Astyanax mexicanus: one gene and its partners. The protein of the gene in region 2 binds, or shares a complex with, the protein of the main gene of each other region. Links are inferred from orthologs where the notes say so. Each region holds a gene or a part of one and is shown on either strand. Other genes may lie near its edges.

Region 1 (11,212 bases), about 23 Mb from region 2:
TTTGTTTGTTGCACTGCAATTATTACTGGTGTTTAGATTGTACTCAGAGGTGTTTTGGTTGTAGAATGTGTCTTGGCCTGACTGATGGCTCATTTCGGCTCTGACAAGCTTCTTTTTTCTTATTGGTATATTCTTGGCATAAAAAAAAAAATAACGTTAATATACTGCAGATCTTTAACAGTTAAACTATTTTCGTGGATGGACAGTCACTACTATTTATAAAAAGGCCCTGAAAATGTAAATGCTTGTGTGAAATGTTAATTAAATGAAACAAGGCTGTTTAAAATTTAATTAAAGCACATTTCTTTTAAAATAATATAATACAGTTTATTTGCAAGAACATGTTTGAGTTGGATAAAAAAAACAACAAAAAAAAACACAATACAGCCCTGACACAAAACTTGCCTTTATTCTATGCTTGGGTATTTCTGATGCAACTACACCCTCAATCATCTCTTGCAGATCTGAAAGACAAGTTTGTGTCAATGAAAACACTAATTTTTGTAACACCACATTCCTTTACCCTTCCTTATATTTCAAAATCTACAGAATAAATTGGACAAGTGAGAGGAATTTAAAAAAAATCATATTTACAACAAGCATCAAACTAACAACATTCAACTCAAACTGCTCCACCCGTATTTTAATTCCAAATATGAATCTGTAATAAAACAAGTAACAGGTGGAAAACATTTTGATTAATTGTTGTTTTCGTCTTTGCTCATGGAATTTGTGATAGTTGACATAAAAAAAACCCAATGTAGTCCAGTCAAGGAAGGGTTCTTCCAGTCTGTTGATAGTTGAATAGTTCTCCACTCTGTAAGAACTGTAAAGGCTTAAGCAAGGATATGTATAAGGTGGGAATCAGTGGCTCTTCTTGGAGGACCCAAACCCTGAGAATCCCATTACAGCAGCCATTTCATCATCCTCTTCAAAATTCAGGTCTTCCTCTGCTTTTCTCTTCTTTTCTTTTAGCTTCTCTTTTTTATATGCCTTTGCTTTTTCCTCCTGAATAAATAAATCAAAATATTAACCAAATGTACAAAATACATTTATTGTAGGCAAAGCAAAACATGTTTATAAATCAAATTCTGTACCTCTTCTCGTAATTCCTTCAATCTTTCCTCAAAATCATACTCCTTCTGTTTTTCCTCCATTTTTTTCTTATTTACTTCAAAGCGTTTTTTAACCTGATCCAATGAGGACCGTTCCACTCGCATCGACATTCCAAGGTTTCTCTGGTCTATATTAGTGAGACAAAGTGAGAAAAATGTTTTTATATAATATATACAATTTTTATTTTTACATTTTTCTGAAACAGCAAATCAAAGAAATAAAAAGAAACTCACGTTTCTTGCCATTGATATGATCCAAAAAGTTGATGGAATCTTTCACAACACAATCGCAAACATTGCAGTAGTATCTACATAAAAAAGTATGAAAACACCAATAAGACCAAATATTTCTGTTTAAAATATATTTGCTTCCAGAAAACTAAATTCTACAAAATGAACAAAAAATAAAGATATAATGGCAACATCAGCAGCAGCAGCATCTCCTGACAGTCCCTCACCATGTCATATATAATGTAGAATTATTGTTTAAATTGTCGATTTGGGACAGTTCTGTTTATGCAATATAGTTAAATGTTACCAAATTTACCTTATTCTTCCTAAGGAATAAAGGCCAGCACTTTCCATTTTTTCTCTCTTAGTAAAAATTGACTGATTCTGGATGTTTAATGCAAATTCTTTAAAAGTAGTCTTATTCACATTCAGTTGGAATCGCGGGAATTGCATTAGATACTCACCCGCCCATCTCAGCCTGAGGTGTAGTTTTAGTGATGACAATTGTCTTCCCCAGTTTAGACTCCAGATCAACCTTGTAGTCTCTGTGCCTGAGGAGCTCCCGCTTGACTGGTGGCATAGGTTTGCCTGTAAAAAAACGTTCATAGAGTTTTGTGATGCACAATAACAGAATCATAACAATACTGGCAAATAATTATTTATATAATTATAAATCTGTGCATCAGATTTAATACAATAAAACAAGAGCAAAATTCTTAATTTTGGTATGATATAATTACGATATTGATATGAACAGTATAAAAGCCACCAGCGTTGGTGTACATAATCATGCACTGAGAGACCTGGGTGACATGGCAAATTGTTATATCTGTATTGAAAGACAATCCTATGATATACAGTATTCATCATGTATTGACTCATGGGTAAAAAGCACCAGGAGTGGTAAATTCTTAAAAAATTCTACTCAAATACTCCTTAATACATAGAAAATTACTTTAGACCTACATTAATTATTATAATTGTTGCTGCACATAACATAATTTAAAGGATTTTTTACACTCTCTGTAATGAAATTTACAGTTAGGAAAGGCATATTTAAGTAGTGATGAATCTTCTACTGGCATATTTATCCCCCAGGACTCACAAGGCTGAATCTTTTTTTCCCCGAATCAATCGGTTAATTTCATTCAAACTCCCAAAAGACCCACTTTTGCCATCACTACTGCAAAGTAAACTAGACAGGTTCTAAGGTTAAACAGAGAGGATTTCAATTTAATTTTAATATTTTATTTAGAAACCTGTGGGCTAGCTAAAACACAGCATCTCTTTGGTTTTATAAGGTACATTATAAGATATGAGATAAACAAGGTGGCAAGTAGGGTTAGTGTCTACACATATGAAGTATGCGTAATTGGCATTCCAGAATAAAAACAGCAAGTCCAGTGAGAGAACAATGTAAGTAACTGTACAAGTAGTGCTGGGCGATATGGGAAAAATCATTATCACAATATGAATTTTTTTATATCACAATAACGATATATATTATGATATACTACATTTAAGTATGTTTTCAGTTATTCTTCGAAAAAACTTTATTTCAAAGTGACATTAAAACAAACTTTCACAAACGAGAATTCCTACCTTTTATTGCAGCAATATATATGTATCGAATGAAAACAGATGAGGTAGATGCAGTAGCTAATTCTTTAAAAAGAACAATGCGTCTCCATTGTTCAGCTCTCATGAGTTTAAAAACGTAAAGCATGTCGCAAACCGGTGTCTGTGCATTTCCGTCAAATAACGTAAAGCAGCGTTGTGTCACAAAACCACATTATGAAGCTTTTTTGTGAAGATTACTTTATCACTTATATAAACAGAGTTTATGCAAAGTGACCACGCTAATACATTTCATCGTAGCCTACTTTATATATTTGCATGAATAATTGATGAAATTACTGTAGAAACGATAGAGACGATAGAAGGTAGACACTTTTTTATCGTCCCCACTTTTGGTAAAGTGGCTAAGTGGAACAGCAAAGCGCAATGTGCAGACCTGTACAGACCAGTGAACATACTATCTGGTGCTTACCACTTAGTATCTAGTGCTCACCACACACCAAGTAACACAGCACAGCGCAATGTAGCAGTCTGTGAAGCCATGCACAGACCAGTGAACATACTTCCTAGTGCTCACCATTTTTTATGTAAAGAAAATATGGTATATATATATATATATATATATATATATATATATATATATATATATATATATATATATATATACCATGTCATATCAGGATTTCCAAACAATAGGCAGTGAAAGTGTGAATATAGTACAGTACAGTAGTGCACTATATAAACTATATGAATGTACTCACCATCTTTTTTCTCTCTTTCCTCCGTGAGACGCTTCTGTGCCAGCTGTTCATACTCATCTTTGTCCCACTTGCGCCTAAAATCGTTCTTAGACTACAAAAAAAAAAAGAGATTTGGAGATTATTCGCTAATTAGTTAGGGTAGCCACGGCTAGCTGGGTATCCATAAACAATAAAACACCGTGACAATAACCTGTTGTCTAACATGCCAGCTATATAACGCCTACAACATATATGGTTTAGATATTCAGTTATTGTCAGCAGCTCCTTTAACAGCATTACAGATCTATAACTGTTGTTGGATAAATCATTAAATTTTCACTGAACACTGACAAATGTTTAGTTAGCTTAGCTAGCTAGCTACCTAAGCTAATGGCCACAGGAGCGTGTTTTAGCACGGTAACGTTGTAGTTTATAGTTTATTCAGCCGGCTATGTTACAGTCTATCAATTACAGCATTTACTGAATACATTAAAACAGATATAACCTTGCAGACATTAATATAACTAATAAAAAAAAAAAAACAATATAACTCACCCCACTGCCTGACGCCATGTTGCTGACCAACGAGATCTTCTTCCTGTCTGGAGAAAAACAACAAGGCAAAATAAAAGCTCTGTGGGAACTGTGTGATTAAAGTGAAGGTGAGTTCTGTGTTAATTTGTCTCATTTATTTCAATCTACACAACTTCTCACACACGGTTTGCTGAAAAAGGTAAAATAAATAAATACAATAAAATAAATAAGAATACTATAAACAAGTAACAGGCAAACACCCACCCATTCAGAAAGAACATACAAATCAAATAAGTACAGATGTACAGGAGAATGAAAAACGTGGCTGCATGTTTCCAATTAGTATGCAAAAAGAACACAATATATACAACATAAAATAAAATGTAAAAAAAATGTTAGTTTTTTTCATAGGCATTGACATTTTTTGTGGACAATATACCATCCAAGAAATGATTGTGATAAAGGATAAAAGCAACACTTTTATAGCCTTGTAAGACTATGATTGCAATTAATAATAGTTTGGGAAATAAATTATTTTTTTCTTCACCTACTGCAGTCCACACTGTGTGTATGGAGCCTTAAATACAGTTCAATGCTATATATGTGAACAAACATACAAATAAACATGCCTATTTTCAATATTGTCATTTCAAAAAATTATATTCTTTAAATATGTCAGTAATTATCAAATACGATTTCCATTTAAGTTATGGATATGTGTTACTATTTTGTGCACCGTTTATCTATTTAAAATAAACAACATCCTTACAAAAAAATGCACCAATACAAATTCAGTTCAGGTTATTATAATGGGAATACAAGATACTACTAAACACTGCTACTTAAAGGAGCAGTTTCTTTTGACTTCACAATAGCATGATAAAACAATGTAAGTGGAATACATAATTGGATAAAATATTGTTTAGAAAAACAAAACGTGAATACAACAACATTTGTTTGTGATCAATTATTACAATTAGTACAGACGACTACTTGATGATATGTATAATATGTATAATCCTTCATGTGTATATTAAGTTAAACATTAACAGATATTAATTTTCAGAGCTTCTGCTGGCTATGCTGTCTTTAATACTGTTATGTTAGTAATATTAACCCAGATTGAGCCAGTGCGTTTTTCCAAGAAACATTGGCTTTTAACATATTACCTATTTAATGTGAACAATATTTAGTGTAATCAAATTTGGAATTTTGGTTTTCAAGTAAAATATGGTTAATTTATTATAATTAACTTTTTTAGTACAACTATATTGTGCCTCTATTTTGATGAAAAAAAAAAGTGTTTACTTTAATTTATTTTTCCTTTTGTGGGCTCTAGTCAATATTGTATATGATCCAAACACCGTGCTTGTGCCTGTATTTTTTTTTTTTTTTAACTTTACTTTAAAAGGGGTCAATTTGACCGGCTACGTAACACGTGGGTTAATTGTGTAGCCCCGCCCCTTATCCACCTGATGCTGATTTAAAGGTCTTTCAAACTATGCGGCATACTAGGTGGCAGAGTCAGCATGACAGCACGGATTGAAACTGCACTTCATAGCCCTTTGGAGTCAAGGTCCAGTAGACTTACTTACTTCTGTGTGTTGTTGCTGAGTGTAGAACACTTTGGGATTTAATCTTAATCTGGTTTCCTTTTGTTTAATTTAATTTTAGGGGCCTGTCTCTTCCCTTGTGGCCAAACATTCCAGAGTTACCTCATGATTTGAGGGTCAGACCACCTCTTGAGCCAGGCAGTCCAGAGCCATGGCTTCTCCCAGGTTGCAGCTCGGTGTATGACAGCCTGGTCAGGTAAGAAGGTAAAGATTTAAGCCGTTTGTTTTAAAGAACAAATGAGCACCAAGCACTTTTGTTTTGAACGGACATTGTAATGCTTTGTATTTTGTGGTTAATTATAAAATCTGTTTGTTTTTCTGTATTGCTGTGCATTTGAATAGCTCTAGAACCCCAAGGCCGTCCTCTGTAAGTGAAGAAAGGAATACCACCTCCTCCATCATGTCCAAGCCTCGCAGGTCTTGACTTTATTTATCAGCTCTATAATTAAGAATATTGTGAATTATGTCTTGATTATGCATGGCCTCAGTGCTAATTTTTATTTTTTTTTTCCCTCTTTACAACTCTAAGTAGATCCTCTATTCTTGAGAGGTGCATTCTCAAGATATCTACAGCTAATGTGGCTGTTGGGACAGAGGATCTAGATGATATCAAGAGGTCAGGTGCAGACTTTGAAATGTGCAATTTGTTAGGGTGACTAATATTGTGAAGCCTGTTCTAGGATGTGGATTTCTCTGTGGTTATCAAAGCTAACAAACCTTCTTAGGTCACCGTCAAGACTCCGATGGTGTACTCAAAATATGGACCCATCTCATTTTGAGACCAACGAGTCGGTTTTGAAGCGCAGACAGAAGCAAATTCAGTATGGAAAGAACACCTGTGGCTACCAGAACTATCTGAAGCACGTTCCAAAGTAAGAACAGACCTACAGACCTACATACCTTTTTACTAGCCTTAAGATAATTAGGCTTGTTTTTTTACTTATTACTAGCTTTTTTTTTCTCTGTGCTATAACTTTTAGGCGCCTTCGCATCCCTGGGTTTCACCCTTCCACTCCAAACAAATACCGCAAGTACAGCCGACGGTCTTGGGACATGCAAGTCAGGCTTTGGCGGAGAGCGCTACATGCTTGGGACCCACCTTTGACTTCCCAAGGGAACAATGAAGGACAAGACCCAGTTGATCAACTGTATGTGTAGGACTGGTATTGTATTGTGTGATGTTAAATTTAGATCATAAACATTCTGCAGATGTAGTCTTATGTTTGAAGACTTGTGCTGTGTTCCATTTACCTCAGCTGTTTGAATTGAGAATTACTTGACACCAGATTGGAGCATTCCAGTATGCCATAAAATATTTTAGATAATGTTTCACTATTTAAAAAAAAAAAAAAAAAAAAGTCAGCTATAGCCTTTGGAGTTTACTGCAACTGGTTTGATTTATCATTAACATTGTCCCAGGTTGGCATTGTGCAGTATTTAATTTGAGTACCATGAAATCATGTCTGTAGATAGATGGAATACGGACAGTACAGCAACTGATTTTATGAGACGCTAATGTATAGACTTGGTGATAAACTATTTAATACGACGCTTTTATTACTCTTGACTTGCATTGCAGCCATCTTGGATTATGAATTCTTGGTTAGTGGGGTTCTCTGAACACTTCTAATAAATAAATCTGATCTGTGAACATTTCCTAATTGGATCTAGCTAATTCTTCTTTGGTTCAAATGGAATACAGCATAAGACCTTTTTAAGGAGTTTTAAGGTTAACCTGTTGCATGCTAATTCTCTTAGGCAGGACCTGCTTGAGAAAATGAATACTGAGCTGGGAGAAGAAAAGGAAAGGACGTTGGATGTATCTGACTCAAGTGCTTCTGTACTTTCTCAACCTACTGAAGGCTTAGGCAATGGCTTCTGGAAGCCTCTTGCTCCTCAAGTAAGTAGAACAGAAAAGTTGATTTATTGTGTTTGTATGAATAGGGTGTCCTGATGCATGTTCTTATTTACCTACAGGCTGATTTAACAGGCCAGCAAAGCCAGACTTCTGGACTGGGCTATTCCTTTAATAGTCATCTAACTGCTGAGGAGAATGTCCTTGGATGGCTGCGATTTCTCTTGGAGACTGACCATGCACGCAGCGAAGTTGCCCCGGAGAGTGAACAGCCACTTTGGCGATTTTACTGATTGTACCATGATGTCTTGTGTAGACCATGTGTAAAGCTTGTTTTCCAGGAATAAATAATGACCCAGGAATGGCGTCTAAGATATGATCAAACATGTACTTGGATCTTAATGTTGAACACTGAGCACGCTGATGGTAGTTTTGCATCAAAACCCCTGTAATTCAGATCACTTAACTGTTGAAACCACTAAAATTTGCACTTTTCTTTTTTTCACTACTTGCTCGTGTTTTGTTCCTTCACTGGATATTCCCTCACTAGTATAGACACTTCTTTTCCTAAAGGCACTTTTTTTGCTGTTTTGATTTTGTGAGTTTTCCTCGTCTCCCTGTTTCACTGTAGTCAGGTTGTTTGGGGGAAGATTGTTAGCCTTGTTTTGAAATTTGAGTATTTTTGTATGACTTTAAAAGTAGTGGAAAGCAAAACCAATAAAGATATGTTAAATGTTTGCCTTGGTAATTCATAAAGTCAAGAGGGCCAAGGGGTGGGGGAGCAACCATTGGTACACAAAAGTTTAAAAGGTGAAAAACTAGCAGTAGTGTCCTTCAGTGTTTTCAGTTTGACAGACGATAGTCAAATTAACTTTATTTAGCACTTTCTACAAGCCCTTTTTTTCCCTTTTAATCTATTTACATTGTACTAAAATTAATTTTCAATGGGCATATATACGGCTGAAACAGGGACCCTGGTGCATCCTAAATGTATCAAAATTAACATTTTAACATAACATATATAGCCATTATTTTTTTTAGAAAAGTGTGTTAATATAGGACCCTGTGGCACGGCCTAAGCTTTTGTCCTTAATGGCATTTATTTCCCACTGGACTGTGTTTTTGCAGTGTAGATTCAAAGCCCCAACCACTGTCAAACATTTAAATATAAATCAATAAAAATGTCATCAATGTTACAGTTTAACCCCTTCACAGGCCAGGATTTTTGCCAATTGTCTGCCTGACATTACAACACTAAATATTGAGGATTTCTATTCAAGCGTCACATGAAAAACGTTTATGTTTGATAAGGAACATTATTGAAAAACATAATTGTAATTGAAAATATTTAAGTAAATCTGCTAATGTCAAAATATAATAAATAAAATCATAAAGTTGTCTCTTTCCTGAACTTTATTTTAAATTCAATATTTTACTAAAAATGCAAATCGAACAGTTTGTCCTTCAAACCTTTAGTTTCATTATGGTTGTCTAGTTTGTACATCTATTTTTAAATCTGCAGATAATAAGATTTATTTATTACACTTATAAATGAAGCCTGTAGGCATGTTAAGGGGTTAAACACTAACCAATGAAAATTAGGCTGTGTTAAATAAAAGATTGTTTAAAGGTTGTCTTTTCCCATCAAAAAGCTAATGTAATGCAACGAAAAAAAATATATTTTAACGTTAAATCAATGTTCTCTCTCTTGCTTGTTATCAGTGTACTGTCTGTGGTGGTGGTGCTGCTGCTGCTACCTGATAGAGGAACACTAGAGGGCGTGGACGGGGGTCTGCATGGTGTGTTTCGGCGGGGGCGGGGGGGCTGGAGGCTCTGCAGATGGAAGCCACTGGATTTCTACGGGCGTTCTTATTTTCCTAGTGGGAGACGATGGGAAGGCGGTGAAATGTCGAATTTATAGCAGATATTCGTGTTGTGTTAGATCGCTCCTCACACTCCGCTCGCGGGGGTGGTTCGCGTCGGCGTGCGGCGGGTCTTCAACGTTGATTTAACGGTATGCTGGTGTTAGGTGTAGAGAACGGGGATTGACAATAGCTAACGTTACGCCATGGGTACCCTGGACGGGTAGCCCGCTAGTTCGCTAGCTAGCTGGCTAGCGTAGCTAGTTGTTGGTCTGAATTGTTTGATCTTGTGCAGCTAGGCAATGGTAGACCAACGTTAGCTGGCTAGCAACTTGCTAGGTTAGCTAGTTAGCTAACAGCTAGGCTCCACGGGCCCTGTGTGTGAGACGGCTGTGCTGGTCTCCGTCGGCGGCGAGGTAAGTCAGAATCGTTAAATGTCCTCCATGTCTTCAGCTGTATATGTATATGTATGTGTGTTATTGTGTGGCTAAAATATCAATCAATTATTATCAGAATTACACACGCCAGGCTGTTCAATCAGCCCTATTAAGATAATCGATCGTGTGGTAGATAAGTTAGATATTTATTTATCGTGCACGGTGTTTTTGCATTGTAAAATGTATTGCTTTGCATTATTGGCCTCAACTGGTTAAGCTAAGCTACGCTAGTCTATCCAAGCCGTCGCTGTATGTCCTGATTTAGCTAGGGTTGCAGGCGTTAGTGGGCCTGTGCTGCTTTCTAGGTAGCCAAGCACCCAGCCAACATAACGTTAGCTAATAATGCTCATCACGGGCTAGGTTATGGCTAGGATGTCTTTCTCGGCTAGCTGGATAGCCTTCCATTGATATGATGCTATTTTGAGGAACACCAGTTCATCCATCGTCAGTAAACCTAGGGTAGCTAGCTAGCTAGCTAACTAAATAGACACAGTATAGCTAACCTAACTAGCTTGATAATTAGTGTTGTCTATTTTGATAAGCTAGCTAGCTATGTATCGTTAACGTTAGCTAACGCTAGCTATATTTATCCTCATACGCAGACACTCATTAAGAATCTACGGTAGCTAGCGTTAGCTATTTAGCTAGCTTCAGTTGTGTGCTCTGTGACGGACCGAGCGACTAGCTTGGTGTTCCGTCGTTTTGTGCCATCCCGTTAAAACGTGCTAGTTAATTAATTACTGTTGTTATATATTTTTTATCTAACTAGCTAGCTATTTTAAAGCTTAAGTTCTAAAAAACGCTAACCTGGTTAGTTATTTGTATTATCTGGCTTATATGGCGAAAGCATCGTATCAGAATATCAAAAATGCTCCTAGATAACGTTATCTTATCATTAGGATTTTTGGGTGGCCCAATTCACTAGCCAACCTAACCTAACGCTATATCAGGGGAGCTTACGCTAATTGATATGATAGTTAAATTGTGTTTTTGTATTTTTTAATCGTCATTTCTACGTTTGTAACACTTGAGCCAATAATATTAGTAAGCTGCAATTGTTAAATGCCGACGAGAAAAAAAGGAATTCACATGAAAAACACGTGAAAACATTAAAAATATGAAGGAGGGGGGGGGGGCACAAATCGACAGAACACCGGCCGGTGTTCTGTCGATTTGTGTTACCCGTCAATTTGTGCTACGCAGCGTCTCTGCGCATGCGCTGAACAACGGCACTTAAATGTTAACGT
Region 2 (10,361 bases):
TTTTCTCACCTCATCCTCAGGTCGAGGTTTCTCAAAGTAGCTGTGAGTGTGATGCCTCTTCTCCTCCTCCCTCTCTCGTTCTCTCTCTCTCTCACGCTCCCTCTCCCGCTCCCTCTCCTTCTCCCGGTACCGCTCCTTCTCTTTCTCCTTCTCCCGGGTCGCTTTGGATGTGGATGGGATGTAGTCTCCGATATCCTCAAATATACTAAAGACAATTAAACACCAACGATCAATGTAAATCATCATACTGCTCAGGTACACCAACAACCAATCAGCTTATATTCACACATACTTTTACATCTATTGTATTTATCAATAGTACAAATGGTATGCAGTATGTATTTACTTTAAATCAAATATTGTACTTCTATATACTTCTACAATTTCTGGCCCAAATTTATCAATAAAATGAATTTTTTGTCTGAATAGCGATACTAAACACAGATTCTCTGAAACTTTTTAATTTCATCTAAAATGTTATTGTTAAGTATAAAATATTCAGCATTTTTTAATAATTAGGCTCAACACTGTTTTTTTTTTTTTTTTTTTTTTTTTTTACTATTATTGGATAAATAATCTGGGTTCTAAAGTAATTGATGCATCCATTTTAAGCATAATTAAAATCATTATTCCACATACTGTATACTGTACTCACTTTAAGTCAGCCTCCGGAGCTTTTCGCTCGTCCAGTTTTCCTAAACACAGAACAATCAGTTAATACATGAGACCCACTGAGGTTCTAGGTAAGCGCTGATATAGGGTACAAAGGATGTTACTGTTATTACCCTTGTCTTTCTTCTTCAGCTTCTTGTTGCGGGTTCCCTGCCGCAGGTATGACAGGATCTGGGTCAGCTTACTGATGACAATGTCGTTTGTGGTCAGGGTGGTCTGGGCCTGGGGGGGGGGGGAGACAGGATTCTTTAGTTTTCTGACTGCTGCTGTTGTACTGTTGTATTGCTGTTGAGTCAGATACAGTTAATATTATTGTGTGTGTGTGTGTGTGTATGTACCTCCATGGTGGGGCAGTCTGCTTTGCTGCGAATCAGAGTGGTGGGTATATCTGTATCTGCGTACTCGTCCTCCAGATCCACCACATACGCCATCCGACCCGGCAAGAACAACTCATTCCTCTCCATCTGACGCCCCTTAAACACGATCCGGTAAATGTTCCGCCCTGCACGGACCAATCACAGAGCAGAACATTTAGTCAAGCTTTAGAAAGCCTTATTTTGGCCACATAGCTACCTACTTTCTGAATATAATCCCTGATTAGAATATTCCAAAAATTAATTCTTCACATAAATTAATCTAATAATAATAATAATAAGAAGAAAAAGCAACAAAATGCAATATAAAAAAGGAACCAAGTTATCACACATAGCCATTTTAATATAAACCACATAATAATGTACATGCATTCTATTCATAGAAAATATTTTAACATAATAAACACAACATAATATACTGAGTAACCCACTCACCAAGACGGGTCTTAAACTCGATCTTCTGCTCAGGATCTTCATCTTTCCTACAAAACACAAAACCACAAGAAATCAGTGCTGATAAAAATAAATAAGAATAGTAATAATAATAAATCTGTACTAAAGCAGACGATCAGGATTTTACACTTACTTCACTTCCTTCTGCACTTTCTCTATCATATCCTCTTCCTCTCGTTCCTTACTGGTGATCTCAGCTCTCACCTAAACAAAAGGAGGTTATTTATTAATAAAAAAACATCAAACACAGTTATTACTGCACTGTTTAGAATAGTCTGCTTAATTCCAGAAAAAAATACTGTCATAATCAAAAATAAAATGCCCTTAAAATGACAACTTAAGATGGATTTCTTATTCTTTTAAGTAGTAAATTAATCTTGAATGTCCAATGAGGTAACCAATATTAGTGACCTGGTACCAACTATTGCCCATACTAGGCCATGTGTGGTTTTCTGTTAGTTTGACCGTGTATTACTCAGCCAGCCATCTCTTCATAACAAATGATTTACTTTATAATTCTAAGTTTACTAAACATGGCCGGGCCTGCACTGAGTCACAGAGGTGTTACTTGTACATCATCATCTTGTACAGTGGGGTAGGCTCTGTTTGTTTTTCTCATTTTTAAGTGCAGAAAAAAAAACTTGATTCGCAGACAAATTCATGAGGTGAACGTTTCTAAGCATCATGCTTTATCATTCCCACTCGCAGTTCTACTTTTAACTTTCAGCAAACCTAGAAATGTAGGCTCACTACATGCACATGTAGATCTAAATCAAGTTGAATAAAACAATAAAATGGAACAGTAAATGAGACAGACTGATTCATTAAAAGGAAGATATATAGAAATATATGATTCTCCGCACATTTTGCAGAGAAAAACTCTCCAAAACTACAATTATATTTACAAGCACTGCATAAGCCAAACATGCCTTCACAAGTTTATGAGCTGGCATATGTTTTGTGGTTTCGTTTGCCTGTTGCCAAATGACAGCATTGTGGAAAGTTCTGGACACACAACGTGTTGTGGCTTATTGGCTCAAAAAGGCTTTTTTAGGCTTTTGCTTACCTTCTGCAGCAGCGCGAAATCCAAACCTTTCACCAAGTGAGTGTGCTCCATGTCACCACCCAAAAACTTAGACTCCTGGATCAACTGACGCCTCTTCTCAGCTGCCGATTTATCCCTGTAAAATCAGAAAATATATAGAACCTTAAAGCAGCAGTCCATAAGACTTTTATTTTAAACTGAAAGCAGTATGACAGGGAAGGGCAGGGAAAGAATATTCTGATTAATGCTATCAGTGTTCTGGCAGGACCATTCTTGCAATGTCTAATAAAGTCATCCTATAAAAGAAAGTGGTCTGGTAGGTTTATTGGATATAAATGCTCTCTATATTTTCTAAGTATTTCATTAATGAGAAAATGAACAAATGTAATATAAATAAGTTATTAAAACCAATTAATTTACATTACTCTGCATTAAAATTACTCTCAACACACACTGTGCAATTACACATTCTCACCAGAGAGGACACTAACTAGGAAATTCTTACTTACTATCGCTTTAAAATAACTGAATAAATCAATCACAAAAACACTATTTAAACATGCTGCTGTACTGTGTGCTGAGAGTGACTGGTCTCTTACGCCTCTGCGGTGGGACCCACTGCTCGGTAGTTGGCAGTGGTGCTGATGAGTTCAGTCTCCTCGTAATCTTTATTAACTCCATCTCGTCTCTCTCGAGCTCGATCTCGGTACTTCTCCGCCAGCTCCCGCTCTCGCTCCAGCTCCTGCTGTCGCAGCTTAGCATAATAACTAAAGGAAAAATAACAAGTTAGATCAGTAGCACCATTTCAACAGCTTTATTTAAACACAAACGCTATATAATTTAAGCCCACCTTTTCTTCTTTCTTCTGCGAGCGGCAGGATCCTCATCCTCATTATACTCACGAGGCATTCTGGGAAATTAAAGTAGAAATGTGGTTACAACAATCAGACACTTACTATGATGTTTATATAATTCAAGTTGTCATTCATATATACTGTAATTCACTGCAGTAAGCGTTGGAGGCACTTTAAAATGTTTAGATGATCCACACGCTCATTCTGACTCATTCAGACTGTAATACACTATAGGTAACACATTGGACCATATGGCTTCTACTATTTACCCTTTTTTTAATTGTTATTTCAGTAAGCCAAATTGTGTTCAAAGTTGTACATACTCATGATGACGGGACTTTGATGGTGGAGCTGAGGAGGGGGCTGCCCTTGGGGTCATCAGCAGCTTCCTGAAGTCTTCATTGGTCAGCTTGGATCTAAATATTACACATAGATTATCAGATTTACCAGCATTTAAGGAAACAAAGGGGTAACTATAGCACAGAACACAAGGTTCAATACCATGTATAAAAACTGCAGTAAACATCAAGTAAAACTAAAAATAAAAATCATCCAAACTCACTGCAGAGCTGAGCGATGGTCCTCCACTTCATGGCCGTCCGGGGCCAGAGGGTTAGAGTACAGCTCGGCTGAAGATTAGAATAAGAGGGTGAATAAATAAAAACGGTCAAAAATTACACTTTACATATTACAGTTAAATCTGTATAAATCAGCCATACAACACCATTACATTTCAGTAGCTTCCACAAACATCACCACAAGTTAGGCTTTATTTCTTGTGTTAAACTTATTAAACAGTTTAAACTTGAGTTCTGTGTTTTTCTCTCTTTTTTTATACACCGTAGATTAACAGCGGTCCCTCTATTAAAATAAAAATAAGTCCGTTCCATCTTAAATTTTAGAAAAATTACATTGGGTCGCAGTAGGTAACTGCCGCATCATTTAAGGTGGAACGGACGACTCCAACACAAAGGCAGTTTCATATTTGTTTACAGCAATTTACACTTTTTACACTAGACGATTCCACAGTTATTTGGGGACCACACAGTTACAGAACCCTCCCGTCCCACTATAAAGCATTTAAAGTGGAGCAGTCACTGTTTAATAAAACACAAATTCAGTCCAATATACTGGAATAACGCAACGTATTTATGAAGATAGACTAACACTGAGGCTAACAGCGATAAAACACATCAAATACGCCAGATTAACGCGTAAAGCGCTATATTATAAACACTTACATTCCCGTTCAGGCATCCTGGAGGCTAAAGTTTAAACTTAACGTAAAGAAAGTCCTTTATTTGGCGGATTTTTTAGCCAACAGTCACAAAAACAACACGGCTGCGAGTTACAGAGGTCTGCTGTGTAGAGCCTACTGCAGTGCACCTACAGCGATCAGCGCCCCCTACACACCGGAGGACTAATAGCACCAAATTCCACCGATTCAATCACATATTTTAATGCCACAATAATTACTATTTCCACCTTATTAGTGCTAAACCGTGATGTATTTATTTTAAATAATGTGTATTGTAATAAATATGAGTAATATGAGTCCTGGCTCATGGATCTTCACCTCTTACAAATTATTACAATATTATTATTATTTTTAGTCTACTGACTGCTCATTCATTCTCATTCACTGCTTAGAGACGTCGTTTAATATTGTGAAAGAATGACGATGGAATTGTGATGATGTTCCTGTAACATAGCACAAAGTTAAATGTTCTAAAATATTACTTATATATCTTGTATTTCTTGTAATATCTCAGACATGAAAATACAGAAAATATATTTACAGACTGTTAACTCGCTGAGTCCCTCTGTGAACAACAACAAAAACAAAAATAGCTGTTAGTTAGATCACTAAGAGTGTTAAACATTTTACTTAAAACATCTTTGTCATCTTCTAATGAGTTTTCAATTGTTTAAAATGTTTAGTGTTATCATACTGTAAGGATTACGAAAATAACTCTTTATACTGTTATGCGCATTCCCTTTAGGTTTATTGTGTTTTTTTTTTTTTTACTTTAATTTTTTATTCATCCATGTTTCTGTTTGCTTTATTTTAATAGCTTTTAGATATAATTTTGTCAGTGTTGTTTCTATTATTTGTGTCTTCGAATGTTTGAGTTACCTATTATTATTATTATTATTATTATTATTATTATTATTATTATTATTATTATTATTATTATTATTATTATGTAAGTTTCGTTGGCAATTTCAAACTAAAAGTCCTGAGCGAGGTGCGGTTCACTCTCTGACCGCTGGGTGTCGCTGTAGCGGCTGCGGGCGCGCTGTGTTTCTCCTGCAGCAGCAGAAGCAGCGGAGCTGAAGGTGAGAGCGATGGCGGCGGTGAGGGCGATCGGGTCTAACCTGGCGAGGAACCTGCGGGAAATCCGCCTGCACTTCTGCCAGAGCTCACCTGCGAGCCAGGGGGCCAGGTAAACTACCCGAGCAGGGCTAACGGGGGCTTTCAGGGGTTTACGGGGGTTTACCACCGCTCGGAGAGACGGGTTTACTGCAGTCTGCATGGCGGTGTTTATAACCCCGAAATTGATCAGGCCGAAATAATAACAATATTTAAGGTATTAGGATGAGGTTTATAGGACTGTACAGCTGTTGGGTCACTCATTTATTATTTTACATCTTAAAAGTATTATTAGTAGATGTATTTATATATTTTATATACATTTTGGAATTAATAGAACGAATGGTGCAGTAGTCCCAGTTGGACTCCACAGCTCTAATAGCCAAACACACGCAAAGGAACTTATGTGTGTTTCACCATACAGTTTAACGCTAAATGTATTTATGCCCAGATCATTTAGCCAAACAAGTTTACTTTCCACCATTGATCCAATTCCAGGTTTTGGACTCTAGATTTAAACCCCAACTTCAGCATTTAGTTAAAGTAAGGTATCATTGGTAAGGTATCAATACAATATACTAAAATGTAACCATTTAATAAAACTCATTTTCAGCGTTGTTAGTGAATTTTGTGAAGTGAATGTAAAGTTTGTTCACGGCTTTTTCTTTTCTAGTTGTTTATTTATGTTGTTTTAATGTGTTTTGAACAGGGAGTTTGTAGAGCAGTTCTACGTCCCACTGAAGAAAGCCAACCCAGAATTCCCCATTCTCATCAGAGAGTGCTCTGGAGTTCAGCCCAAGCTTTGGGCCCGATATGGTAAGACCTTAAAAAACACTATATATTTATGTGTAGTGAGTTTAATCCAATGTGAATCTGCAGTGTGTGTAGTTTTACAGTCTGACAGTATGTTTTTTCTAGTTTGATTCTGCAGATGGTTCTGCAGTCTAGTCCAGTATGAATTGTGTGTATAGTTTTTATTAGGGGTGGGAATCCCGAGGCACCACACAATTGGATTCGATTACGATTCAGAGATCTGTAATGAGATTATTAAATGATTATTGATGCATCTTTTTGTTCTATACAGGATTTCTTTTTCCTAATTGCATTAGTACTTGGATGGATGATGTGTTGTGGCTGATCTTTGTTTGATCTGCATATAAGTAAAGTATTATAGTATAATCATAAAAAAGTATTAAATATAAAATAGAAAGTTACACATTCTAAAAAGCTTCATAGTGACTTATGTACACACAATAGATTCCCAGGAGTGGCTTACCTGATATTTAAGTGCAAGTAAATTTAAATTATTTCCCCTAAAAAGGAAAAAAAAAAAAAAAAAAAAAAAAAAAATATATATATATATATATATATATATATATATATATATATAATTATTATTATTATTATTATTATTATTATTAGTTTGATGTTGATTAAAACAGAGTATAGAAAATTTACAATGAAGAAAAGTGCAATAGAAGCTAAATTAGTGATATTAAAAGCATTTAAGATATAAAATATAGTGCTTTTGTTAGCTATAAAAATAAAATTAGAAATAAGACAGAGAGAAGAGAGATCTAAAGAGATCTACAGGGGTTGGACAATAAAACTGAAACATCTGTCATTTTAGTGTGGGAGGGTTCATGGCTAAATTGGAGCAGCCTGGTGGCCAATCTTCATTAATTGCACATTGCACCAGTAAGAGCAGAGTGTGAAGGTTCAGTTAGCAGGGTAAGAGCACAGTTTTGCTCAAAATATTGCAATGCACACAACATTATGAGTGACATACCAGAGTTCAAAAGAGGACAAATTGTTGGTGCACGTCTTGCTGGCGCATCTGTGACCAAGACAGCAAGTCTTTGTGATGTATCAAGAGCCACAGTATCCAGGGTATTGTCAGCATACCACCAAGAAGGACCAACCACATCCAACAGGATTAACTGTGGATGCAAGAGGAAGCTGTCTGAAAGGGATGTTTGGGTGCTAACCTGGATTGTATCCAAAAAACCTAAAACCACGGCTGCCCAAATCACGGCACCTCAACTCTCCTGTTTCCATCAGAACTGTCCGTCGCCACAATAAATTATTGTGATCTAAAACCAGGTGTTTCAGTTTCATTGTCCAACCCTTGGCATTGCACTTGGGAGGATATAAGAGCGTATCTGACCGGTACACACTAATAGTCCCAAACCAGGCAGTGCTTAGTTTGTGCCTGTGGGGTTTCTTGCGTGACTGTATCTTGTGTTATGTGTTTGATGTGCTACACTTCTGAGTTCTGCCTTTTGAGTCCTGTCATTTTGTTTTCAATCATATCTTATGTCTAGAAAATTGATTCTTATTGTTTGTGAATCAATTCAGGATTGTCCACATCTGAATCGAGATTACCCCTAGTTTTTTATAGTCTGACCAGTAGTCTAATCCGGTATGAATGTGAAATAGGCATTTGTTACTTGTGTGTTATCCACTAAGAATCTGTAGTCCTATTGTCTAATCCAGTATGAATTTGGAACATGTGTGTGTCATTTTTCAGTTTAAGTAAGTGATTTTAATGCAGTGTGAATCTGTAGTCATACAGTCTAAATGCACTATGAATCTTTATTGTGTGTAGTTTTTAGTCAGGAAACAAGTGTTTTTTTTTTCATCATGCTTCTGACTGTGAATTTTTATAACATTATTTTTAACAGTCTAATACAGTATCAATTCACAGTCCTACAGTCTAATGCAGTATGAATATGTTGTGTGTTGTAATATAGTCTGACAGGAATTAATTTGAATCCATAATGAATGTATAGATTTTAATTTTTTAATGAATATATTTAGTCATACATCTCTATACTGCCCTATGTTTTGAAAGTTTGATCTCATGACCTGGTCTGTGCAGCATTCCCTGACCAGTAGCTAGCAGAGTCTGGAGGTGATGAGCTGCTCTCCAGTGATACTGATGCTCATCCTATGGACAAATTGTGTGTTTCTTTGTACCAAGAATGCAAAGAATGAGCTTATGTGGAAAAAACGTGCTCATAAATACATTAACTACTTAATTGCTATGCACTTTTTATGGTTTGATAGCTATATTAAATAACACTGTAGTCTATAAACAATAAAATCCACAGATTGGTACAAAATGTCAGGTTAGTCACTATTATCGTATTTATTTAAAATAATATTAATTCCATCAATGTTGCAAAGTTTCATCATTAAAGTACTACTACAGAGCTTAAATAAGGAAAACACCAATAGAACACACAATATATAAATATTGACATTGTCACACACAGTTTGCAATAATAAATGAATACCCAACTAAATATAACTTAATTCTCTAATATTTTGACCTGTGTTTTAAAGATGATCTTAGATTTAGTCATGAGAGTTGTTGCACCTTGTTCCATGCAGTAATTGCTCTAGGTATAAATGTACATTGAAAGGAATTAGTATTAGCCCAAGGTACAACAAATCGCCCTGTATTGTATGCTGTTCCTGTGGGCTGTGTTAAAAGTGGTGTTAGTATACAGTGTAGAACTGAAGCTCTGACCATGGTTTTCTGTTTTTCTGTTCCAGGTTTGGGGAAAGAACGCAGCTTTGCTCTGGATAATATGAACGCAGAACAGGTGGCCAAGGAGCTTGAGAAAGCAGTCAACTTAAAGCCATGATCTTACTCTGCATATTTGTTTGTATTGTGTGTAAAAATGTAATTTTTTGCCAGAATAAATTATAGTGTTTAATTCCATAAGCTCAGTCTGTGTTTTTTTGTCTCACAAGGTATGCTCTACTGTTATAAACAAAGTAAGGATTGTTGCACAAAGTACAGCTATCCCATGTCTTGTAAAAAAAAAAAAAAAAAAATCTAGGGCATTCTCACACCTTAAAGTCTGGACCTATGATAATGTTTGTTAAAATGTAAATATGTATGTGTGTTTAGTGAGTGACTGCACTACGTCATGACATTTAAGTGGATTCAGGAATCTTAAGTGTAATCTGTTTGATTACTGCAGGAATTCTCCATCTGCTGGCTGTGCTGTAAATTGCAGGTGTAGAACAGTGACTATCAGTAAGGACTGATAGCGATACAGACAAGATAGGTAGAAAGTTACACGGATAGATATGCATTTTCTCTCTGCTACTGCAGAATCGCTTCAGTTTAAAGAGAGAGAAACGGCTGTAAAAGCTGTTTATCTGAAAGCTCTGCAGATGTTAGACAGCTGGAACTTGACCCTCTCCTGACCAAGAGAGCTATAAACACTGCAGAGAAAGAGCGAGGGAGATGACGTCTTTTACGCAGAACTTCAGAGTGTTCCTGACAGTGTGTTTGATCTCTCTGATTATGATTACAACTGTCCCTCGCAATTTTTTGATTCTGTCTTTAAGTCTCGTTGTTGATTTCAAATTCACTTCTGATTCTAACCCTAATCCAAATTTCAGTTCTAACTGTGATTCTAACAGTTGTCCCACTTTTAGTTTTAAGTCTATTTCTTGACCAGAGTTCTATTTCATTTGTTACACTCTGTGTTAGTTGGATTCGCTCTTTTTTCCAAGGTTGCCGGTTTAAGACCAGGACTCATGGTTTTTCAGGAACCTTAAGGTTTTTT
Region 3 (10,312 bases), on a different chromosome or scaffold from region 2:
CGTTAAAATATGAACTTGTTTTCCTTGCATTATTTGACATCTAAAAGCTCTGAATCTTTTAGTTATTTCAGCCATTTCTCATTTTCCGCAAATAAATGCTCTGAATGACAATATTTTATTTGGAATTTGTGGACAATTCTGTCTGTAGTTTATGAAATAAAATAACAATGTTCATTTTACTCAAATATATACCTATAAATAGCAACATCAGAGAAGCTGACATAGAAACTGAAGTGGTGTCTTAATTTTTTCGAGAGCTGTATATAAAGTACTTTGACAGACATGAGTCATTGATCAACTGGTAGATAAAATATTAAAAACATTGTTTAGGCATGAGACCTTTATCTTATTCTTAGCAGCAGTTTTGCAAAATATCTAAACCCAATCAATTAATAAATAAAGAAAAAAAGAAAGTAAGTAACACAACAATACCTCGTAAAATTCATGTATATGGCAAACAAAATCGACCCCCCAAAATCTATAAAATAAAGATTATGCGTATTTTGTCTATACTAGTGCATCTGAAAAAAAAGAAATATCTTTGAAAAGTTACTTTATTTCAGTAATTCCCTTAAAAATGTGAAACTCATATGTATTACACACAGAGCGATCTATTCTAAGCGTTTCTTACAGTCAAGATCATTGCTGCAGAAAATTAGAGTATTATATAAGACTAATTGGTACTTTTGGCAGTGTGGGTAGTGGGCCAAATCCTGCTGGAAAATGAAATCTGCATCTTCAGAAAGGTTGGAAGAATAAAGTTCTGTAAGATTTACCAGAAAAACACTGCACTGACTTCAGACTTGATATAACACAGTGGACCAACACCAGAAGATTACATTGCTCAGTTATTTGCTGGCAGAACCAATCAGAACCTCTATTTCACGGAGGAGGCCATAGATTTAACTAAATATGGAAACCATCGAGATTTATAGTTTTAAATGTTTTATTTATATACTTGGTCAAACTTTATTTTCCTAGAAGTCTTCCAGGTGCATTTATAGAATGAGTTGGATCCCTTTGTGCCGAGTGTCTGCACTTAAAACAGCCAACATACCAAATAACATTTCACCCAGCACTCAAACCTGTACATATTAAAGCAGATTGCACATCTTATAATGTCTGTTGGACCATATTAAAATAGATGGCACAACAAACAGCAACACTTGTGCTGTCTCGTTAGCATGTGACAAATTGTGTGGCTGATATTTTAAGATTTGCCACTTAGCAAAAAAGCTCAACCCTTCTTCTCTGGTGCTCTTTAGAGATGTTAGCAAGCATGTTTAACATCCTGTGTGAACATAAAATACAACCCCTTAACACGGACAATATTCATGAATACATTTATTACCATTAAAGTATTGCTCTGACAAAGGCAGTATATGGTTTAAAGCTTTACATTAGCCAAGTAGTTGCCTTCAAATCATAAAATGATTGTATTGTGTTAGCCACTTCTGACAAATCATGCTAATGATCTTTAGTGACCCACTTTTTAAAACTTTCCAAATTTTACCTTTCTCAAGTTTGTAAAACTCTGATCTACAAGGTACAAATTCCAAAACTCATCACATTTTACAAATGAAGTAAGGGATTATGTTCCAATCACGATCATTAAGAAAACATTCCTCAAAAGTGATGCATTTCACAATAAAACAGATGTTATCAAAATAACTTGGGCTGCAATTTTTAGTCAAATTACTTCATGGTAAATGTGTTGTTAAAATGTATTTATCATGATGCAAAAAAGGAGACCCCAGTCACGTGGTCAGGCTAATACCTCACAGACTGACCCATTTGAGCCTTATTTGCACAGTATTTAGCACTTGATTTTATTTACAAAAAAATGGACATGTACCGTCACTGTAACAACAGTTTATTTGAGTAAAATCTTTTCATAATTTACACGTAGATAAACTGTTTATTACAAGAGGGCTGCTGAAACACTTTAATAATGAACTACAATTGATGGGATGAAAAATATTTCCACTCAAAATGACTTAAAAGAATAAACAGCATCAAAAAACTTGTGTGACTCCAATCAGTTGAGAAAAAGATTCACATCATATTTTTTTTTATATACACATTACCATACAAGCATTACATAAAAAAAAATCTACAAAAAAATGTAGAAAAATCACTCGTTTCCTCTTCGACTCCTCTTGTGACTCTTCTTTGAGCGGCTGTTAAAGAGACAAACATTCAAACATAAGGACTTGACGAATAAACAAATACAATCTATTTTCATATCTATATTGATCAGGAATACATTTACAGAATTATTTCTAATAGAATTCAATTACCTTTCTGGAGACTTTGAATGACTGCGATGTCTGTGGCTTCTGTGATGACCTAAATTAAACCAAGCAGACATAATTTATTAAATAATAAAAAGATTAATATTATTTCCTTACTTTAAAATAACCTGAATCAGGTTCACAACTGAAAACTTACAAGCAGCTAATAAGAGCATAAATATGAGCTGATGTGTTGTACCTGGAGATTTGGAGCGGTGCCTCCTGTCTCTGGACCGACTGCGGTGTCTGCGGGGACTCTTGCTGCGGTGGCGATCCCGTTCTCGCTCACGTCTGGGTGATGGGCTGCAAACACGAACAGAATAACAATCACTTAAATCTCAGTATTAAAAGAATGAATGATGTATAATGTTCTGTGGTTTGCTATAGTTTAGTTCAGATGATTAACATGCATGCAGAAGTAAGAATGAGAAAGACAGATTTGCACTGTATGTGTACCTTCGTCTCTTGGGGGATCTGCTTCGTCTGTTTCAGGGTTTAAAAAAAGGGAAAAAAAAAAGAAAAAGAAAAGAACAATAATAAATTGTATGGTAGCACTTCAATTTTCATATAGACTAGTGGCAGCCACTCAACACACACACACACCTTTCAAAAGCATTCAATAAATACACCATCAGATTGAAATAATTCCAGTATAACCATGTATTCCTTTATATCCATTAACATAACACAGCATGTTGATCATTTCAGGGGGGGTTACTCTTTTAGGGATGCTTATTTAGCTAGTTTGCTGGCACTTTCTTAATCTTCACTTAACACCAACCTTCTGGGCGATCGGCTTCGTCTGTAGCGAGGAGAGGGAGATCTGCGAGGTCTATCCATATCTCTGTAACTCCGTCTGTGTGGCTCTGGTGTCTGTACTCTTTCCGGCTATAAATTAAAAAAAAATTGAAGTCAAAAAAATTACCAAACTTTTTTTTGCCCCTCTGTTAATAATATTATTGTGATAAGTATTGTTAGAGTAATACCTTCTCCTCTTCTTCGTCTTCTTCTTCACTGGACTCCACCTCATCCAGGTCTTCTTCAAGGGCACTGATACGCGGATCTAAAAGCTCAGCTTCCTCCAGGACTTGCCTCTTCTATAAAAGATGAACTCAATTTCAGTACAACAAAGGGTAACAGATTTAAACCCAAATTTGCATAATTGCTCACATATAACAATATTCTAAATTATATACAAAAAGAAAACAAACCTGGAGCCTAGGGAGGATGACATCACACACTCGCTCGGCATGAAGCAGCTCGTCTATAAACTCGTCCACATGCATTATCTCAAACTCTGGGAAGACAGAGTAAGATAAAGTACGTTAGAAGGTTTTCTTGGTTTACAAGGAATTACTATATATAGTTACTCTCATTTATGAACCAATGCGGTATTAGTTTCAATGTGCTGCTTACCTCCATTTCGGTTCTGTGTTTTGATTTTTCTGTAGTCATTGTACAACGGTTCCAAATACTTATAACAGTCCACTGAGGTGCCAGTCAGGCGCATATACGTTGCTCCAAGCAAGCGGACATATCTGAACAAAACATTAAAAATTACATTCAGCACTTGCATGCATAGACTATGATATTCTGTTTTCTAATGATAGTAGCTGTATTTATTTCCTAATAGACACAAAACCCAATAGTTTAAACAATAAACATTCTGCTTAAACCAAATGCATTTGTGCATGATGGGCATTAATTTAATCACATGTGTCTGTTTTATTTTCTTCTATTCATTTTTACCTAAATGTAACACACCCCACTCAGCCAACCAAATGCTGAAATTAGTTTTAAAACATAAAAAGTCTGGTAGGACCGCTTGTGAAGTCATTACAGTTTCCAATAAAGAAATTGTAAAGATATTCTTTATGTGCAAAAACCAGGAAGCTCAAATAATACTAGGAACAACCTAACACATAAGGAAAAAACTCAGGAGACAGGTCAGTGATAGATAAAATATAAATATAGGTGAGATATGCATACTTAAAATCTTCGTTCTTGATGAATTCTACAATGATGTCCTTCTCAGGCTGAATCTGGAGCATCTTCAGCGTCAGACATAAGAAAGGTGTGGGTTTGATGTTTCCGCCATACACTCCTCCGACAAACTTCAGTTCCATTGCTTTGTCCACAACAAGCTCAGCTTAAAGTTGATATATTCAGTGACCATGAGGAACAAAAAGATTAGAGTCCAGAGTCAGAACAAATTCAAAGCTCAATATACATAAAATAATAAACTACTGATGCTCTAAACGTCAACAATTTAACAATACCTACATCCAAAATAGAACAGATATGTAGCATGTCTAATATCCATTAAAAATTACATTATGCAGGTTAGCTAGCTAGCAACATACTGGCTTATCATTTACAGCTCTGAAAAGAATTAAGAGACCACTTCAGTTTCTGAATCAGTTTCTCTGATTTAGCTATGTATAGGTATATGTTTGAGTAAAATGAACATTGTTTTTTATTTTATAAGCTATAGACACCATCTCCCAAATTTCAAATAAAAATATTGTCATTTAGAGCATTTATTTGCAGAAAATGAGAAATGGCTGAAATAAAAAGATGCAGAGCTTTCAAACATCTTCAAGAATCTTCGCATGTTCTCCTCCACCAGTCGTACACACTGCTTTTGGATAACTTTAAGCCTCCTGGTGCAAAACTTTAAGCAGTTCAGCTTGGTTTGATGGCTTGTGATCATCCATCTTTCTCTTGATTATATTTCAGAGGTTTTCAGTTTGGTAAAATTAAAGAAACTCGTCGTTTTTAAGCGGTCTCTTGTTTTTTTCAGAGCTGGATTGCTAGCGTTAACTAAACTAGCTCCCTATGTATCTAACTAATGCTTTAAGTTACTTAAAATGCTAACCTAGTAAACCTAATTAGCAAAATAGCTCAAAGTACTAGTGAGATACATAGAGCTAATTTAGCTAACATGGCTAACGCTAGCTATATGTTATTAGCATGTCAGCTTTCTTGCGTTAGTGCGCGCATTTATGAATACAAAAGAAAGATGTCCAGGGTTTAACGTTAGTTAATTAAGGTTCACTGCCAAATCTACCCAAGAGAACAGATAATTAATACAGTAGCGAGCTGCAGGTAGATAACCCTAAACACAGCTTAGGAAGCTAAGCTAACCTAGCTGGCTACACAGCTAACTAGCACAACACCAGACCGGCTAACTAACGCTGTTTTCTCCTCACCTGTGAGACCGAAACACTCTTCCTTCCAGTATTTGGACTCGTAGATTCGAGTGCGGATAATTTTCTCCACCAGGTACTGGGGGTTAGTTCCGTGTATACTGTTCGCATCTTTCACTGTTCTGTTCGCCATTTCCACCAGAGAACTGATGAATGAAACGCGCTCACGCCGGAACACAACCCACTGAACTTCCTCTAAAGCGCCCTGCTGCTGGACTGATAGTGGGGAGTACTGACACCTACAGCACGGAGTGTGGAGTAAACCCACGGCTAAATGTGGATGTTAAATGAGGGAATTACTTTAGTTTCTTTCTTTCTCTTCACACGCTAACAGATTGTGTTTCAAATGACTAAAATGGTCTCAATATTTGCTGTTAACTGTGTATGATAAGTACTATATATCCTCTACCTCAGTAACTACCCTGAAAGCATACATACTAAGACCTTTTTGTAAAGGTCTGAACATCTTAAATGCATCAACCTCATTTGAATTGATTATAAATTGGTTTTATTAATATGATATGCTCCAGAGACCGATCGCACCCCACATACGTCGTTGAATAATCTGTTTTACGCAGGAAATTTGGCATGTTAATTTGCTAGGTCACAGATACGTCGATTTCACGTCTGCTTTATTCATGAAATTTGTTATGTTAATTTCCCAATTCAGATGTGATCTGAAAAAGTCCCCTTGTAAAGTGCAGAAATATATAGCATGCTATGACATATAGGTTTGATGCTGTAAAATAACCATATATGATTCCATATGGACAAGTCAGTCTTAGAAAAACTTTGAATTTGTAAATAAACCCTTTAAAAATATCTAGCGCAGGAGTTCTTTAGCAGTGTTAGTGAAATATTCTCAAATGTTCTTACAATACCTTAAACAGCACAGATCCATTAATTAGATTAACATAAATAATATACATATATAAATTAATAATCGACACCTGAGAAGTTGTCAGGTTTGTTTTCCTTATAGATGTTGGGATTTTAGTGTGAGCACTCCCCTGGGTGTTTGCCCACAGCGCTAATTTTTATACACAAAATGTACTTTTACGCACGGGATGCGTTTCTACGCACGGGATAGGCGCGCACTTTTACGCACGGGATGCGTTTTTACGCACGCGATGCGTTTTTACGCACGGAATGCGCGTTTACGCACGGCGCGCGCTTTTACGCCCGGGATGCGTTTTTACGCACGGCGGACACTTTTACGCACGGCGGGCACATTTACGTGTCTGGTATGTTTTTGCGCATCTCTTTGTGTTGTAATGTGTTGCTACATGCTTCCCCAGTAACAAGCAGAACTGCTAATGTGGAGAGTCTTACATAAGCTTTTTAAATGCTACGATGTATCAGTTTTATATAAATTACATTGTATTTATAGACAAACTATTTTAGTTAATTATTTCTATCCATAATCACTGTCAAAACAAAAAACGTACAAAACAGTGACTTTACATAGGGAGAAACTCCCTTCTTAATCTTTAATAAAATTCATTGTAAAAAAAACATTTATATTGGTCCATTTATAGTAAAATAAAAATGAAATAATGCAATAACTACTTTCAGGTTCAGGTATTAAAAGTTATATATTGTTTTTAGAGTTTTGGAAACGAGGGATTTAAGCACGTAAACAAAGTGATAAAAAAAGTAGCTACAACCAAACTCCTGTGCTATAATGTTGCATCATCTTGGAGATCTTGGATCTTGGAGCACTTGAAGATACCCAAAAGGACCCTTGGAGATGCCCAAAGGGACATTTTGAGAAGCCCAAAATGGCACTTGGAGCTGCCCAAAAGGACACTTGAAGATGCCCAAAGGGACACCTGGAGATTCCCAAAATGGCACTTGGAGATACCCAAAAGGACACTTGGAGATACTCAAAGGCACACTTGGAGATGGCCAAAGGGACATTTGGAGATGCCCAAAATGACACTTGGAGACATCCAAAAGGACACTTGGAGATGTCCAAAGGGACACTTGGAGATGCCCAAAGGAACACTTGGAGATGCCCAAAAAGACACTTGGAGATGCTCAATGGGACACTTGGAGATCCCCAAAATGGCACTTGGAGATACCCAAAAGGACACTTGGAGACACCCAAAAGGACACTTGGAGATGCCCAAAGGGACACTTGGAGATGCCCAAAATGATAATTGGAGATGCCAAAAATGACACTTGCAGATGCCCAAAGGGACACCTGGAGATGCCCAAAAGGACACTTGGAGATGCCCAAAGGGAGACCTGGAGATGGCCAAAATGACACTTGAAGATGCCCAAAGGGACACTTGGAGATGCTCAAAATGACATTTGAAGATTCCCAAAATGGTACTTGGAGATACCCAAAAGGACACTTGGAGATACTCAAAGGCACACTTGGAGATGGCCAAAGGGACATTTGGAGATGCCCAAAATGACACTTGGAGATGCCCAAAATGGCACTTGGAGATGTCCAAAATGGCACTTGGAGACATCCAAAAGGACACTTGGAGATGTCCAAAGGGACACTTGGAGATGCCCAAAGGGACACTTGGAGATGCCCAAAAAGACACTTGGAGATGCTCAATGGGACACTTGGAGATGCCCAAAAGGACACCTGTAGATGCCCAAAATGACACTTGGAGATACCGAAAAGGACACTTGGAGATGACCAAAGGGACACCTGAAGATGCCCAAAAGGACACTCAGAGATGCCCGAAAGGACACTTGGAGATGCCCAAAGGCACACTTGGAGATGCCCAAAGGGACATTTGGAGATGCTCAAAATGGCACTTGGAGATGCTCAAAATGGCACTTGGAGATACCCAAAAGGACACTTGGAGACACCCAAAAGGACACTTGGAGATGCCCAAAGGGACACTTGGAGATGCCCAAAATGATAATTGGAGATGCCAAAAATGACACTTGCAGATGCCCAAAGGGACACCTGGAGATGCCCAAAAGGACACTTGGAGATGCCCAAAGGGAGACCTGGAGATGGCCAAAATGACACTTGAAGATGCCCAAAATGACACTTGAAGATTCCCAAAATGGTACTTGGAGATACCCAAAAGGACACTTGGAGATACTCAAAGGCACACTTGGAGATGGTCAAAGGGACATTTGGAGATACCCAAAATGACACTTGGAGACGTCCAAAAGGACACTTGGAGATGTCCAAAGGGACACTTGGAGATGCCCAAAAGGACACTTGGAGATGCCCAAAAAGACACTTGGAGATGCTCAATGGGACACTTGGAGATGCCCAAAATGACACCTGTAGATGCCCAAAATGACACTCAGAGATGCCCGAAAGGACACTTGGAGATGCCCAAAAGGACACTTGGAGATGCCCAAAAGGACACTTGGAGATGCCCAAAGGCACACTTGGAGATACCCAAAAGGACACTTGGAGATGCCCAAAATGGCACTTGGAGATGATCAAAAAGACACTTGGAGATGCTCAAGGGGACACTTGGAGATGCCAAAAAGGACACCTGTAGATGCCCAAAACGGCACTTGGAGACACCAAAAAGGACACTTGGAGATGACCAAAGGGACACCTGAAGATGCTCAAGAGGACACTCAGAGATGCCCGAAAGGACACTTGGAGATGCCCAAAAGGACACTTGGAGATGCCCAAGATGGCACTTGGAGATGCCCAAAGGTACATTTGAAGATGCTCAAAATGACACTTGGAGATGCCCAAAGGGACACTCGGAGATGCCCAAAAGGACACTTGGAGATGCCCAAAAGGACACTTGGAGATGCCCAAAATGGCACTTGGAGATGCCCAAAAGAACACTTGGAGATGCTCAAAAGGACACTTGGAGATGCCCTAAGTGACACTTGGTGATGCCCAAAAAGACACTTGGAGATGCCCAAAAGGACAGTTGGAGATGCTCAAAATGGCACTTGGAGATGCCCAAAAGGACAGTTGGAGATGCTCAAAATGGCACTTGGAGATGCCCAAAAGGACACTTGGATACATATATTTGCAAGGATGTACTAGACTCAGTTTAGTTTAGTTTAGTTTAGTTTAGTTACTGTTACAATGCCCCTCTCAGGCTGGTACCTTGCTTTTCTTGCCTATAACCAGTCGGAAGTAAACACGATTTTTGTTTTGATGTGCATCAGAGATGTCCAGACTGACATTTTAGATCATCTGCATCTAAAAAAAGATTTAATATTGAAAGGAGAGAGAGCTCATACATTTTCATACATCTTTTTTCCAGATGTAGAAACTTTAAATAAACACAAAAATACTAAATAAACCTTCGTCTAACCCATATTAAAATATAAAAAAACAGGTGGATGTTTATGATACTCACGACCAAACACGTCGACCCCGCAGAAAAAAAGAATATCCGCTGGGTTGTATCTGAAACGTATGACATGTTGCCTAGTTAGGCAGGAAAGAACCCATCCTTGTCTGAATCGATGTTTAGTAATTTAGCCTTCTATTTTGTTTAGCATTAAGGTTAACAGCTAATGAGAACACATATAAACGATCATATATTGTATGGCAGGAAGCGCTATTTTTCTTTTTTGTTTCGGTTACAGATTCACCGCTTTCTACGGCTTTAAGTGAGAAGGTTTAGGCAGTAGGACAGCAAGTCAGCATGTAGTTATGACACGCACGGCCTACGCCATCGGGTCAGTAGGCGTGGATTCATTCCACTGGTCCAATGATATGTCGGTATGCAAATAGTCCTCATCTTTCGCGGGAAAAGTTGTGTGTCGTGTCTGAAGGCAACAGGGGGTTGGGGGAGACAGAGCGAGCACGGATCAGTGTTTTAAAGTTTTAACGTTATATCACTTTCC

What was found.
Region 1: ik (region 2) and zmat2 share a complex: the UniProt entries of both Homo sapiens proteins name them as parts of the spliceosome B complex. The link is inferred for Astyanax mexicanus from reciprocal best matches to the Homo sapiens genes IK and ZMAT2.
Region 3: ik (region 2) and prpf38a share a complex: the UniProt entries of both Homo sapiens proteins name them as parts of the spliceosome B complex. The link is inferred for Astyanax mexicanus from reciprocal best matches to the Homo sapiens genes IK and PRPF38A.

Annotation. Positions count from the first base shown.
Region 1 is NC_064424.1:10,757,713-10,768,924, forward strand, and holds zmat2 (zinc finger matrin-type protein 2), read right to left. Parts: upstream 4,322-11,212; 5' UTR 4,238-4,321; coding exon 4,220-4,237; intron 3,777-4,219; coding exon 3,686-3,776; intron 1,935-3,685; coding exon 1,811-1,934; intron 1,424-1,810; coding exon 1,350-1,423; intron 1,244-1,349; coding exon 1,098-1,243; intron 1,009-1,097; coding exon 865-1,008; 3' UTR 276-864; downstream 1-275. Other genes in the region: slbp2 (stem-loop binding protein 2), read left to right, coding at 5,728-5,774, 5,873-6,007, 6,154-6,228, 6,341-6,427, 6,537-6,683, 6,792-6,959, 7,570-7,711, 7,789-7,959. UniProt on the Homo sapiens protein: Involved in pre-mRNA splicing as a component of the spliceosome.
Region 2 is NC_064424.1:33,881,386-33,891,746, reverse strand, and holds the start of ik (protein Red), read right to left. Parts: upstream 4,791-10,361; 5' UTR 4,656-4,790; coding exon 4,640-4,655; intron 4,028-4,639; coding exon 3,961-4,027; intron 3,815-3,960; coding exon 3,722-3,814; intron 3,455-3,721; coding exon 3,395-3,454; intron 3,312-3,394; coding exon 3,144-3,311; intron 2,681-3,143; coding exon 2,566-2,680; intron 1,704-2,565; coding exon 1,633-1,703; intron 1,529-1,632; coding exon 1,482-1,528; intron 1,175-1,481; coding exon 1,011-1,174; intron 895-1,010; coding exon 786-894; intron 696-785; coding exon 656-695; intron 206-655; coding exon 10-205; intron 1-9. Other genes in the region: ndufa2 (NADH dehydrogenase [ubiquinone] 1 alpha subcomplex subunit 2), read left to right, coding at 5,748-5,845, 6,482-6,588, 9,334-9,425. UniProt on the Homo sapiens protein: Involved in pre-mRNA splicing as a component of the spliceosome. Auxiliary spliceosomal protein that regulates selection of alternative splice sites in a small set of target pre-mRNA species. Required for normal mitotic cell cycle progression.
Region 3 is NC_064412.1:22,006,577-22,016,888, reverse strand, and holds prpf38a (pre-mRNA-splicing factor 38A), read right to left. Parts: upstream 5,694-10,312; 5' UTR 5,637-5,693; coding exon 5,507-5,636; intron 4,444-5,506; coding exon 4,284-4,443; intron 3,833-4,283; coding exon 3,711-3,832; intron 3,592-3,710; coding exon 3,506-3,591; intron 3,392-3,505; coding exon 3,281-3,391; intron 3,183-3,280; coding exon 3,076-3,182; intron 2,778-3,075; coding exon 2,751-2,777; intron 2,598-2,750; coding exon 2,494-2,597; intron 2,350-2,493; coding exon 2,301-2,349; intron 2,181-2,300; coding exon 2,135-2,180; 3' UTR 1,858-2,134; downstream 1-1,857. UniProt on the Homo sapiens protein: Involved in pre-mRNA splicing as a component of the spliceosome.